Linked DNA regions of Oryzias latipes. The protein of the gene in region 1 purifies or fractionates together with the protein of each later gene. This does not show direct contact. Links are inferred from orthologs where the notes say so. Each region holds a gene or a part of one and is shown on either strand. Other genes may lie near its edges.

The links.
Region 2: the proteins of tp53rk (region 1) and nup43 purify together in Homo sapiens (affinity purification with mass spectrometry; 3 studies listed by BioGRID and IntAct, counting the BioPlex papers as one, with this or other methods). This does not show direct contact. The link is inferred for Oryzias latipes from reciprocal best matches to the Homo sapiens genes TP53RK and NUP43.

What each region holds. Positions count from the first base shown.
Region 1 is NC_019879.2:916,082-923,522, forward strand, and holds tp53rk (TP53-regulating kinase), read left to right. Parts: upstream 1-3,019; 5' UTR 3,020-3,091; coding exon 3,092-3,296; intron 3,297-5,519; coding exon 5,520-6,007; 3' UTR 6,008-6,070; downstream 6,071-7,441.
Region 2 is NC_019882.2:17,709,141-17,716,408, reverse strand, and holds nup43 (nucleoporin Nup43), read right to left. Parts: upstream 4,939-7,268; 5' UTR 4,821-4,938; coding exon 4,701-4,820; intron 4,520-4,700; coding exon 4,397-4,519; intron 3,481-4,396; coding exon 3,403-3,480; intron 3,320-3,402; coding exon 3,157-3,319; intron 3,087-3,156; coding exon 2,951-3,086; intron 2,856-2,950; coding exon 2,704-2,855; intron 2,626-2,703; coding exon 2,509-2,625; intron 1,305-2,508; coding exon 1,075-1,304; 3' UTR 946-1,074; downstream 1-945. Other genes in the region: pcmt1 (protein-L-isoaspartate(D-aspartate) O-methyltransferase), read left to right, coding at 5,160-5,337. UniProt on the Homo sapiens protein: Component of the Nup107-160 subcomplex of the nuclear pore complex (NPC). The Nup107-160 subcomplex is required for the assembly of a functional NPC.

The sequences.
Region 1 (7,441 bases):
ATTCATCTGCCTTGCCAAGTGAGCCTTAAACAGACTATGAAGAGCACTGGGTCAACAGCTTTTTCTCTGATGCCTTAGAGTTTATTTTAGCATGTACCATCCCTTGGATGACGGTGATTATGCTAACTATGAGAAGATCACTGTTGACTCTGAGCATCAGAGTGAATCCCGCCAACATTTAGAAGCACTTTGTGATGTAAAGTGTAGTTTTCAGTCTTTAACTCCCAGTTGTCAGCAAAAAACAGCAGAATCACAGAGTTTCCCAAAGAGTCTGTGGCAGAAACCGTGAGGTAAAATGTTGTGAATTTTCCAACCGAGTGTTTGTGCTTCAGTCTAGTGGCTCCAAACTGGCTGATGTTTCCAACCTGAAGCCACACAGCATTTCTTGTGAATTCAGAGTGGGTCTTGTGTGTTTCACGTACTCTGTGTTAGGTTGGTGTGCTCAATGACCATGCTTTTTCTTTTCAACAGTTTTTTTTGTTCAATGTATTTAAAGCACAGATTTATAATTATTGTGAGCATCCGTTTTTTTTTCTCAAAGTCTTGCTGCACTTCATCCTGTCCAGTTATCCATCCGTGTTTAAAGATGGGCTCACCCCTTGACTATTTGTTTTCTTTTTGTATTAAGTGTATGTAGATTTTTTTTGTCAAATATTTATAAATATATGAGTTTGATGAACGGCAAACTGAGTTTATGAGACCTCTATCGTTCTTCTTACACACAGAAGCCAAATAAAGTTTTATCACAAAGAGTCCTGATGATGTGTGTGAAATGCAGACAGCAGTGTTGAAACACCTGGGGCCTCATTTATAAAACTTTGCGTAGGATTTGCGTCAGAAGTGGCGTACGGATGAAACATAGGACGTGCGTACGCACAGAAATATTCGGATTTATAAAACCGTGCACACGCACATCCTACGCATCTTTCCCTTAATAAATCACAACCGATTCTAAATGCAGCGCAGCTTTTGCGGCTTCATGACACGCCCATAGTTGCCCATAAATAGTCCGTGAAACGCCCACAAATGAATATTCATTGATTGGGAAACCATGGCAAACACAGAGAGAAAATCAAAACAACGTAACTTCACTCAATGTGAAGTAGAAGTTATCGTTGGCGAGGTGGAAAAGAGGAGAAAAGTGTTGTTTGGAGGGCACAGTGTGGGCATTACTAATGCCAAAAAGGCACGTGAGTGGCAAACGGTGGCAGACGCTGTAAATGCTGCAGCCTCACAACCTCGGACCGTGGCCGAAATAAAAAAGAAATGGTCGGACATCAAAGTCGAGGCAAAAAAACCTCTGGCGCTGCATCGCCAGAGTGTGTCTGCCACGGGGGGGGGACACCGGAGCTGAACCCTCTTGATGAGAGACAAGCGGCAAGAATTGGGGAATCCTTTAGTGGAGTGGTGACTGAGGCGCAGGGGGACGCCGACGCGCCAGATGCACCGGGTGACACCCCCCCAAAAGCCCGCAGAGGAAGTCGGAACCGGCTCATAAGCCACTCGTCCTCGTTTGCCAGCAAGTCTTCTTGCTGTCTAAAGATACGTTCACTCCGAATTCTTCCATTTGCCACATCTTCTATGAGCGCAAGATCAGCCATTGTGCGTCATTACGCATTGTGATGGGGCATTTTATTTCCCTCCATTTAATTACATCTGAAAAGCTACAGATGTCGGGAATAATCGACGTGGAAATGGGAAATTGATCAGCGCAAATGTAATTTCTTGTTGCTTTCTGAATGGTTGAGACATACGCCATACATTGTTTATCAAAAATAAAACAAACTAAAGGCATATGCATGAATACCATAATTCTGTAGCTTATGGAGAAATGTTTTAATATGAAAACAACTTTCCCCAGTGGACAATTAGTGCGTCTGTCCGTCCGTCCGAACGCCCGCACCTATATCTGCTCCGCCAGACGGACACATTGACGAGAATATCAGTTTTGTACATTATTTCGTTCTGTTAACTATATTATTTATGAGGATGAATTGCACAACATGCCAATATTGCAGAACATATTTCACTTTTCTTTCTGCAAATAAGTGTTCATTTGAATTTCTGTTGTAATTTTCGTTTGATCTTTTTTGTTTGTTTCACTGCTGATCGATCAAACGGATGTTGGTGTAGCTGTTAATTGTCAGACTTGCTTTGTGAAGTCTTCATGTTATTTATGAGAGGCAGTATTGTCATTTTCACTTTCACGTGTTTGTTCCATCTGCCGACGGCGTCACCGTTTCTCATTTCACCCGTTTTTGTGCGTACGCCTGGGTCAGAGCGTGAAGGACCGCACATTTTCCCCTCAAGTTTGCTTTTTATAAATCTCAACTATTGCGTAGAGAGTGGCGTACGCCTTCTTTTGTGCGTACGCAACGTTTATGAATGAGGCCCCAGATCATTGTAGTTGTCGTGCATGGTGATATGTTCTGACCGTAATTCCACTATTGGGTTGAATGCTATAAAACCTTCAATCATTGTTTTCCTGTTTCTCTTTCTTTATTCTAGTATCTTTGGCCATTTTTTCCGCTTAACTCCTACAATTTTTCATCTATTTTAACCATTCAACTATTCAAATATTCAGCTCTTTCCAGCTACAACTTTTGGACTTTCAAATCCTTGAACTTTTCCAGATATTCCAGGATTTTGGCCTCCGTTGAAAAACATGAGGGATCCTTGGTGCAGAAGCTCACTGGTTCGATACCCGGCTCTGGCATTTATCACAAAAATATGTTTTTTGTTATTGTGCTGTTTTAACTTTATTTATGGTTAACTTTGATCTTTTTTTAATTCATTTATTTATTTTCCAATGATTCCCCTTTACGCTTCCTTTTCATTCAGCGATACAGCATCAACCCATATTTTCTTCTGGAGATGCAGCTCCTTCTAGTTACAGAGAAATATGACAAAATCTAAAAAAACGACATGATGAATCTGTGGAAAAGAACGTAGATGTGTTTTTTTTTAGACAGGCAATGCTAATATAAAAAGATAATTTAGAACATTCCAGGAACATTCCAGTCCAGTAGGTGGCGGCAAACCTCAAACCGCCAGTAAAACGCCAGAAGAAGAAGAAGAAGCCGCCGCCAACATGGCGACCCTCCAGCTGCTGCGGGGCGCAGAGATGCTGAAGCAGGGCGCGGAGGGCCGCGTCTACCGGGCCGAGTTCCTGGGAAAACCCGCCGTGATCAAACAACGGTTTCCGAAACGCTACCGACACCCAGAGCTGGATGAAAAACTGACGCACCGCAGAACCATGCAGGAGGTCCGCAGCATCGCCCGCTGCCGGAGAGCAGGTGAGTCCCGCCGCCGCCGCGGTGCCGATCCCCGGCTTCAGACGCCTCTGCTTCCCCCAGGCGGAGGCCACTGCAGCCTAGGACCGTCCAGGACGTCCTGCTCTCTAGTTCACCACGAAAAGCTCCACGAGGCCTCGCGGGGTTTGTCCACGCACGAGGCGAAAGGTTCTGTCTGCTCAATCCGGGTCAGCATTAACCCTTTGTGGTCCTGGACCGCTTTAACAATTTGTAGAACTTTACAATTTCCTGGAATAATTCACCTTTAACACAGTTTGGTTTAGCAAAAGCAACAAAGTTTTTACTTTATTTTACTACACAACTGCACAGGACACCTGAGCGGTAGAAAAACACAAAGCAGAGTTGGAAATGTTGTCATTTTTTAACTGCAGAATGAACAAATTGTTTTTTGTTAACAAGAAAAAATTATAAACCCAAGAATTCCATGTCAGAACATTCGTAAACTACAGTCACACATCTTAAAATGCAACCGTGTGACGACCTGTGTGCAACTTATTCAGGTAATTCAGATTGGATGTCTCAGTTAATTTACTAAAAATATCTCTAGTTTCCCAGGTTATTTTGTGGCTGCCAACTCTCACGCCACACCTTTTTCTCACGCTAGACGGCAGTTGACGTTACTTATTTCCTGTTGATTTTTTTCTTATTCCTAAACTTAATGGAGAGACACAAACAATGTTTTTATTATTATATTAGCTCTGACTGCCGGAGACACTACGCTGGTCACTTTAGCCTAAGTCACTTCACAGGCCGTGGCTCTCTGGTTGTCTGGGTCCACAGGTGAGCGCAGGTGTGGCGTTCACTTCCACTGAGGCTCGTTCGGCCACTTCAAGGACGTCAGGAGAATGAAACGTGCGATTGTTTGATGCGCGTGTCCTAAATGTCTCATGAAGTCTTTGTAAGGATACGCAGCACTCCTGTCCTCCTGATACACTCAGGATTTATCGTTTCTAGCAGCCAGGCTGCGCTCCAACAGCCTGCACCTTTATGGCAAGCCAAAAGGGTCAAAATCTGTCATGAAAAGCAGCGAAAATAATGATTGTCTCGACTGGAGTTGGTGTTTCTTTTTTTGCTCTTCCTTTCCTCTCTTCCTTTTTTGGTTTTACCAGTATGTGCAGCATTAAGGCAAAAAAAAAAAAAAAAAAAAAAGAGACGTTTGTGTTTTCCTGCTGAAAAACGCCGCCATGAGACGAGAGGTTTCAGTCCGTCTCCTGTAGTCTGGACCAAAGATTCAGAGCTGCTGAGAAAACGAGGACAGATTCACTGAAGGGGAGCAGATGGACAGAAAATGCCCCCCCCCCCCCCCCCCCCCCCGATTCTGTCTCTAGTTGATTCATTTTTACATGAAATCAGAACAAAAACAGCCTAAAAACAGGATAAAAGATGCCGTTCAAAATCTACATCTTCTTATTTCAACGTTTTGTTGATGTTGTATTTTTTACGATGCGCATAATTCATTTTCACTGGGCACTAGGGGTGTTTTAAGTATGGGGTGGGGAGGGGGGGCATTTTTGTTCAGACGGTGAGAACAAAGAATTGCGAACAGAAGACGGGTTTTTTTCTTCCCTCAGTGTGAAGAGCAGAGGATCCGTTTTATCCAAGTTCTAAGAAATACATTTGATTAAAAGAGGAACATTTTGCATTTAAATGTTCTCATTTATTTAGGATTAAACCACGGTCCGGGTGAACACTCCATTCTGATCGCCTGCTGGGTGTGGACTAAAAAGTGAGAATCTAAAAAAGTAGTTCCAGCTGAAATGTTCTGTATCACTCCGCTGGCTTCTTTAAAACAAACGTAATCTTCATCGTCTGGACAAAGACGAGCGGCAAGAGGAGAGCTTTCCCTCTGAACTGATGCTTTATTGTTTAAAAAGTGATCCAAACTGAAAAAATAACAAGAGTAAAGGACTAAAAACTGGTTGAACATTTATTTCTTTTGCAGGTGACCATAGTATAAGCGGGTTGATGACCTTGGAAGTGTGCTTTATCAGAAATGAATGCACTTCATGGAAGCAACCGGACGGTTGCTTCCATGAAGTGCATTCATTTCTGATAAAGCACACTTCATCTTCCATTAATCCTTCCATAACCAACTCAAGTCGTCTCTATCCTATCATTTACAGACAGGATCAAGGCAAACTGTGATATTTACTTGGCCTCTGACCTTTTGCAGCGTCCGGTCAAAGACTTGTTTCTCCTCCACAGGCATCTCCACCCCCGTCGTCTACTTTGTGGATTACAGTTGCAGCTGTATTTTCCTGGAGGAAATAGTTGACTCTCAGACTGTGCGGGACTTCATCGCATCCGCCCGGCGGTCGTCCTCGCGGTCGGACCAAGAGCTGCAGCGGCTGGCTGAGCTCACGGGGCGGATCTTAGCCAAAATGCACGACGAAGACGTGATCCACGGAGACCTGACCACCTCCAACATGCTGCTGCGACGCAGCGCCGACAGCTCGGAGCTTGAGTTGGTCCTCATCGACTTTGGCCTGAGCTACATTTCGGCTCTAGCTGAAGATAAAGGGGTGGACCTTTATGTTCTGGAGAAGGCGTTCCTCAGCACCCATCCCAACACGGAGCCGCTCTTCCAGCAGCTGCTCGGCAGCTACTCGGCTTCCTCCAAAAAGTCATCGGCAGTCATCAAAAAGCTGGAAGAGGTTCGGCTCCGAGGCAGGAAGAGGTCCATGGTGGGATGAATGTTGACTGGAGCTTCATGGGACTTATGGCTGTCGTGGTTAATAAAGAAATGAGACTCTGAAGCTTTGTCTGGAAAGATTTCTGTTGATCAGAGTTACTAGTATGGCGGCGCTCTAGACTGCGTCTGTTTTGATCTCACGCGCCGCTAGATTTTTCAGTGGTGCACCAAAAAATATAAAATCCTTGGTGCGTCCAGCCTTTCTGGAAAAAAAAAGAGAAGAAAAGACAAAAAGCAGGAAAAGTTACTGCTGCTATCAAAGAACATTTGAATTCGTACCTAAGAAGAGATTCTGATGCGGCTCTTTACTGATCACAAAACTTTATACATTTTTTCTAAGTAAACATTTCCGCTCAGTGAAGCACCAACTTTTTCTTATTAATATTGTAGACTTGTTTCCAATGAAGGACCTTTTGTTTACCAGTTAATCTTTTTCAAGTCCTTAATGCAGAAATTGACAGCGATTAAAAAGCAAATGGAGTTTTTGAAAGCGCAGAGTAGAAGAGGCGGCTGCACCGACCTTCCATGGTGGTGCGCCTAAGAAAAGGAAACGGCAGCGGAGAGAATCTCTAGTCTACTGCTCTGCATGCGGTCAAATCAGGATCAGCTTCAATTGAATAAAAACAGTTTGTTCATTTGAACAGCACTACTGTAGTTTAGACTGTTAAGTTTCTCCATTACCTATTGAATTCTGTGACTTTATGTTCTTTAGGATTCATGTTTATTCCACAATTTCGGATCTGGAGCCCATTGAGACGCCTGTTGTAAATATTTGGCTATAGAAATTAAATTGAATTGAATAGAAAACACTGTACAAGTACACACCATAGTACACACCATAGTACCATTTACCATTTTTAACAGCTGCTGTTTGTATTTTCAGCTTTTGGTTTTCTTTGTTTTTTTCCTATTTTGCTTTGATTCCTCAGTTTAGTTTCAATTCCGTTGTACAATTCAGACTTTACATTTTTATTTTTAACCATCTGATTAGTTTATTCCCTTCAATCCAGATTTGACCCTATAGAGGAGATAAACTGATTTATTATCATCGCTGGAGTTTACTGATGGGGAAGCTGGGAGGAAATAAATGGAAGAGAACGGGGGCGAATGCAAAGAAATATTCCACATCTGTCATGTTTTTATATGAATGTTTTTATGCATGTGCATGCCAGCATGTAGTTAAGTCTCAGGGGAGATGCAGAGAAACTGGTGGATTCCAGCCCAGTAGCAGAAAGGCTTAAAAGACCACAGCAGCCCCCCCCCCCAAAGACACACACACAGGGTGGCAGCCGTAATGCAACCCTCAAAGCAGGAAAACCACCCAGATACCGGGCAACACATTCCCAGCGTTGGCAGTGACCAGCTCGTATATAAGCAGGTTTCCATAATATAAAATGACATTGGGTTCAATAAGACGGCAAATACTAAAATATCT
Region 2 (7,268 bases), on another chromosome or scaffold:
TCTTTGTAACACCAAAACATGCTAGCTTGTTAGCTCTGTTAGCTAACAAACGCTACTTTGACGCTAATTCTACGTCAATTAACATTAAATATGTAAACATATCTTAAAAATAAAAATCTTTTTACCTTACTATAAACATAGTAGGTGTCGTTTGTGATTAAAACAATAAGCTGTATTCGTCAGACAAAGACAAACATTTCTTTACGGCCTGCTGTGTTTGCTAAAATTCAACAGCAGCTGAGGGTTAGCGGCTGCTCAGAGACCAGCAGAGAGAACCGGAACCTACCAGCGCGTGAAGCGGCCGCTTGTCTCCCTGTTTGAACGGCTCGATGTGTTTTTGGGTTAATTCCGCTGGACGCAGGTTAAATGGATAAATGTCTGAGCCGCGGTGACTGGTTCCTTGTCGCGTTGGATTCCCGGGATGTCTGAATGACAAGTAAACGCTGCCGTCAGAGTGCAGCGCTGCACTTCCGGTGGCCGCCGCTTTCAAAATAAAACTATCAAGGGTCAAGAAACAAACAGGGAATGAGATCAAAAACAACCCATTGCTTAAAAATTTATAAAAAGCAAACCAGAAATAAAACGATTACAAGAAAAAGATCTTTAAAAAAAATCGTTTCAAATTGTTTAAAATGACTAGTGCTTCATAATACTATGAATTTTCCTTAAGGTAGGCAGTATAATTTCATATGTTTGTCTTCATCTGTGAGTATTAGTCCTCAAAAGATGATTAAACAACAGTCAAGTAAAAAAAAAAAATAGAATTTCTGTGAGGAAGTATTACTTTAAGATGTTTAACACATTTAATTTGAAATCAAGACCATTTTTCCCTGTGTTCTTAGCAGCTGACTTGTTTGTTTTTTTTTTTTTTTTACACAGTGTAAATACAAATCTATCAAATAATCGTAAATATTGGAAAATAAAAAAACAAGACTGACAATAAAACAACTTTTTAGACTTATTTGAGCGTTTATTTGTAATTTAATAACCTTTTAAATCAAATCTGTACAAAACACAGTCAGAACACAACATGAGGACAGTAACATCTCTTTCCTCACAAAAGACACTTATTTTTTAAACTGGGACATGTCTGTTGACAAAAATGGCCTCTCCGTCGGTGCCGCAGACGAGACACTGTCCGATGATGTCCAGGCTGTTGACGGACATGGTCTGGCTGGGCAGCATGTGCGTCGTCTCCAGGCAGCCTTTGCCAGAATCTCCGCAGAGCCAGGCGCTGCTGAGGGGGCGGTTCCCGCCAGCGGGGGTCAGCGCGCCGTGGGAGATCACGCTGCTGTTCCTGCCACCTGTCAACAGTTCAAACAATCCAACGTTCACCCCCAACTGCAAATATTCTCAGAATTACCCCAAATTCTATCAAAAATGCAGAGTTTACACTCTAGGATTGAGATTATTGTCCCTGTATTTGTTTCAGCGTCATTGGCTTTAAACTCTAAACTTCTTTAAAATTTCATAACAAATCTTGTCTCATATTAACCCTTTCAAAAGACTGACTTTGTTTTTAGCCAAAACACACAAATCTCTGTTGTACAAATCAGGACTGATAAGCTGTAATTAGACTTTAGAGAACTTCTGAGCTGTCAACAAGATCGTTTTAGTTTGAAGTGAAGGGATGTTTGATGAACACAAAGCAGAGGAATGTGCAAAGTCATGACTGTGTCCTCAGAGTCAACAACCAGAGAGAGAAATGTCTAAATAATTCTCAGAGAGCTACAACGCTGAGGAGGAAGGAGGAAATAAAAATTAGCTAAATCTCTACTTGGAAAGTCAAAGACACCAGGGAGCGAAATCAGAAATTGTTGTCAAAATATTCGGAGCTCTGCACAGAAATGAATGGAGAGGACGCATTAAAAAAAAAAAAAAGGAGTCAGACTGAAGAGTCTATATGTTCAAGCTTAAAGTGAATGAAAAACATTTCCAGAAAAAAATTACATTCAAAAGTACACAATGTAACCTCGAGTCATCCCTCCTTTGAAGTGGAAATGACATTGTCATGACCTCTATCACACAACATCAATCATGTCATGGTAACCAATGGGCTCAAAGCCCCGCCCCCATATAACACTAGCCTGAATAAGTACAGGAAGGGTATCTGGTTTAAAACTCTGCCAAACCACCTTTGCGAAACAGTGACAGCTGTATTTCAGAGTTTCAATTTTAAAATCTGGTTTTCCAGTCAATTTGAGATGATCCTGATTTGACCCTGTGTGTTTTAAGTGACATAAAGAAAGAAGAATGCATAAAGATAAAAGCTTCAAATCTGATCCATGGCTTTCTCTTTTTAAAGTTCCAATTCCAATCATCTTTGGATCCATTGTAAAAGCCTTCCCTGTGGTCTTTTTATTATGATTATGCTGCTAAGAACTCTGAGCAGCGAGCTGGGTTTTTTTTTTCAAACTGCCTCCATCATCAGAAAAAAGAAAAGAACATGTTGGAAACACCAAAAAACAAAATTTTCATCGGAGTGCCTCTTCACTGATGACGACTTGCCTTGTAAGAATGAGGGCATCTCGGAATGCGAGGCAGTTTCCCAGTGCAGCAGCGAGCCGTCCTCCGAACACGTGAACAGGTGATCCGGGTTTGTGGGGTGGAAGCGAACCTCCCACACTGACGAGGAAATCCAAAGGAAAGTTAGTGAAACAGAACCAGAGATATGTTTAAAGTGAAATAAAGAAAGGATCTGACTTTCAGCCGAGTGTGCCTCCATGAGTGAGATGGGCGTGCCCCCCTGTCTCACGTCCCACACACAGAGCATGCCGTCCTGGCCCCCGGTGGCTACGATGTGCTGCTGGTTGGGATGTCTGTCAACGCAGTGCAGAGGAGCTCTGTCTCCTGACCTGGTGGAAAAAAAGACAAACAAGTAAAGGTGTGTTTCTGAAAGGATAAAGATACATAAAAAAATAATAAATACATCAAATTTCAGAGCTCTTACAGGGACAGAATCTGCGATGGGGAGCTGCTTTGCTGCCTGAGGTCCCACAGCTTCAGCTGGCCAATGGAGTTCACCGTCAAAACCTCCGTGGTCTTCAGGTAAGTCACCGCGTGAATTGTGCTGCTGTCTGCATTCTCTAACAAACACAACGGACAGTTTTAGACTCGACTCCTGATGAGGCGGTAACATCCGAGTCCTCATCTCACCGATGACCCGGACCGCTCCTTCCTGGTCGGCTCTGAAGACCACGATCCTGCCGTCCTCCCCGACAGTGACAATCTCCGGGCTGCTGCAGACCAAGGCGGTGCAGGGCGCGTTGTCACAAGGGTAGCTATGCGCCCTCGCCCAGTGCTGCAGAACTGAAATGGTCTGTTCAGGAAACAAAAAGGAAACCCGTTTTTAAACATGACATTTTGTTTTCTCCTCAAGAAAACCGAAAAGAAACAACGTACATGAGTGTTTGGATGATAGCGGAAAATAGTGACTGCTCCCGTTGATGACGCTGAGACCATCCGTTCCTGGTCCAAGAACTAAAACATGAAACAAAGAAAAACAAGAAAAATTACTTTATCCAAACAATGTACACATTTAAAATCATTTAAAATTAAAACCTATTGTAAAAACATTCCCAGTGTTTTTTTTATTATGATTATGCAGTTTTTAGCAAAAATCAAAAACCCTGTGTTGTTCCTTAAGACATAATTTCTGCAGAGCAACAGAAGCTCATTAGAAATTTGTTTCTGGGTTGTGGATGGGACTGTTAGCGTGAAAGTGACCCTACCATGATTTCCCAGCATTCCTTTGTTTACACGCTTTCCTGCTACCTAACAGCCGCTCACAACCCCAATCTAACATTAGCGTAGCACAAGAAAAAAAAACAACCTGCCGTACAGTTTAGATTTAGATTCCAGCTCAGACAAAGGAAAACAAAGACGGATGTGGATCTATTTGTCTGCGTGCGGAACAGGGAGACTTTGGCCCGCCAATGGCAGTTGCTGCATCGCAAACCGGGTCCTTATCCATTACAATTTAAATAAAAAAGTCCTCGTAAATGCAGTGCTAAGCTTAAATCCTTTTGTCCTCCATGATGAGAAAAATGCTACAAAAACATGTTAAAAACACACATATCTGAGTGAACCATCCAACATAATAAAGTGGGAAAATCCAGAAGAATTGAACAAAAATGTAATCAAATAGTTACACAAATTGATCAAACATTTGGGTGTGAGCTTCTGAAGGATCTTTATGACTTTATAACTGCTGACACTTATTTGACATGCTGAATAATTTTAATGACAGAAAAGGGAACATTTAAAATTTCGTTTTGGTTTTGTGCTCATTTCTATTTTTCATTTAGTTTGTTTATAGGCCTAAATAAAGAAATGGCTCCACAGATCAAACATCAACACCGATGATTCCGTCATTAGAAGCTTTTGGGTTTCTTACTTGCAGGTCCAGAACATCTCCGCCATGTTTGTGCTCACATAAAATTTGTGGGTCTCCTTCAAATCCGTCTTCTAATCCAGAATTGTTGTGATTTCCAATGGACCAGATAGACACCTTGTTGTCCTATAAATCAACGGGTTTCACATTAAACTCAGTGAACATTTAAATCACGACGACAAATGAATCAAAACAATTTTTTAAAGTGTATTTAAATAATTTAAATTAATAAAAAAAATTGAGTTAATTAGCAAGCGATCTTAATAATTTGTGTGGTTTTGCGCTAGTAGTAGTACTACTAGCTAACCTCGTTGTCCCACGAGCCCGTAGCAAAGACTTCTGGTTGTTGCAGTGAAGAATAGGAAACCGGACACCATCTCGTCTTACTGATTTTCTGAGACACATATTTGGCATTTATGCTCTCCATGGAAATTGAAGCCTTTTTGTTAAAATTTGAAGTGTTGTTTTCAGTTTACGGACTACACGAGAAACTACGCGCCTGCTGCTTCATACGTAACTACGGTGGCCCGAGAAGACCAGATCACAGTGTGCTATTCTTCTTTAAATTAATAGATAATCTGTTTCCCCCTAGCGGCCGACTTCTTTATTACCCAACAATTCCAATAAAGCAGAGACAGAGGAATTCCCTCTTTAAACTGACACTGGGCTCAGTACGTATCTAATTGGGTTTGTATTTTATTAAACTGTACGTGTTTTGTTAAAAGGGAGTGTATGTGAAAGGCGGCCCGGTAATAAAATCATTTGGATGTCTGGTGACGTATCCGCTCCGCCGTCTCCGCTCGAGGTTGCGAGCTTCATCGGGAAAACTGTTGGCGCAGGCGCGGCACTGACAGCTGCTGTCTACTTACTCCGCAAAGTCTGCTTAATAATGGCCTGGAAATCTGGAGGAGCCAGTCACGCAGAACTTGTCACCAACCTTCGCAGTGAGTCTTGTAGCGTTTTTAAGGTGGCATCGGCAAGCAATTCACCCGCGCGACGCTGGAAAACTGTTTTCGGGCGCGTGCTTGTTAGCGCAGGTGCGGTAGCTAGCTGGTTGCTTAAACTGTTAACCACTGTTGCCCCTAGTTTCTCCACCCCCTTTTTTTTTTTTTGCCAAACCACGTTACGCCGTGGGACACGCGCGCGCTTCTGTCATTTTAGATCAAAATAAAAGCACTAAACACCCAAATTACATAATATTTGCATTAAATATTTAGGGTGTATTGTGATGTTAGCCCGGCCAGCTAGCTATGTATGTGCGTCATGTAGGAGCATGTAGCTAGCGTTAGCAGCGGCGCTAGCTGTGTGCCCTGCCCACATCCATTGATGTCTGTCTGCACTGGCCACTGCGCTGTCATTTCACTGACGAGAACAGTTTAAACCGTAAAGCTCGACTCTGGAAACCACCCTTCTGTTGCACGAGACAGAAATTCACATTTGCTGTGTCACGATAGCAGCTAGCAACATCGAAAGAGCGACTTAGTGCCAAGTCCAACTCGGAATAAATGGTAATGTCATTTTGACACTTAGCCTTTTTGTTCATAATAAGCCTTTAAGCCAGTACATCAACTTATTTAATGCTAATATGTGAATTTAATACGATATTTGCAGACTTGAGTGTGCGTCAACATTCACTGTCAAGTATTTGCCAGCTCTATTTATACTCTCTGTGCTGTCAGGGGTATCATTGCTCGCTTTTTTGCCCATAGCTGCGTGTTTAGGAGGGCATCAGTCTCTATATCTGCTTATCTCAGTCCAGACATGTTTGCTTCCGACTAGCACACTTCATTTGGATTGAAGCAGACCACATGCAGAAGGCATGCTGATCAGTCTGCCACCTCTGGCTGAACCTTTCAACCCTGCAGGCTTTTGTTAAGGACCTTTTGTGGTTATATTGGCTTTATGCAAATAGGTACAGTTAAAAAAGTGATCATGTGGACTGTATATAATAATGCTCAAGAGTTTTATCATCTTATTTTGCTAATATTTTACATGTGCATTCTTAATATTTAAGTCTTCATTGTTCATTTTTTCTGCTTGGTGACAATAAAGCTTTTGATTGTATTCCAAACATAAGAAATCGAGCTCATGTATCTTCCTTAAAGGGTCATGAAAAATCAACTTTTTTTTAGCTTTTAAGTGTATTATAATGTTCATTCTTCACTGTAAACAACCTCAAAGCAGTATTTTGATCTGTTCTTACATTTCTGAGTATTCCTCTAAAAACGTCTTAGGTTTTCAGAGGAATACTCTGTGTGTGTGTGTGTGGGGGGGTGTGTGTGTGTGTGTGTGTGTGTGTTTGTGTTTGTGTTTGTGTGTTTATTCAGGAATACACACACACACTTTCTGCGTGGTGCCAGTGGTGATTGGTCAAAACACGTTCCTTTACTCTGCACAGTATGCACATCCATCCCTGTAAAGGTTTGGATGTTGTTTGTTTTCCTGGGAGACTCAGACACGCTGCCAAGGCCGGCTCTATGTTGAGGTCATGCAATGGGCGACACCCACACAGAGAGAAAGGCGGAGCCTCAGAGACCAAGTCGTCTTATTTCCGGGTTGGAAAATGAAGTGTGAAAATAACTCGTATTTCATAAAAAGATCATTCTTTAGTGTGCCAAAGGTAATATATTATCATATACATGGATATAGTTCATTGTGAAAGTATTGGAAAAGCATGAAATAGGCCCTTTAATCCACAAACTACAGTGTAAATGCAACCTGTTTAGATAAGTGTGACTGTTCTTTTGAGTGTTAACATTACAACATCTAAATTTTATGTCCATAATTCTGTCCCGCTGCAGTCCATGGTCTGCAAAGCCAATATTGTTTTTGCTATGCCGCTTTCTTACTGTGCCCTGTGTTAACATTTCACACC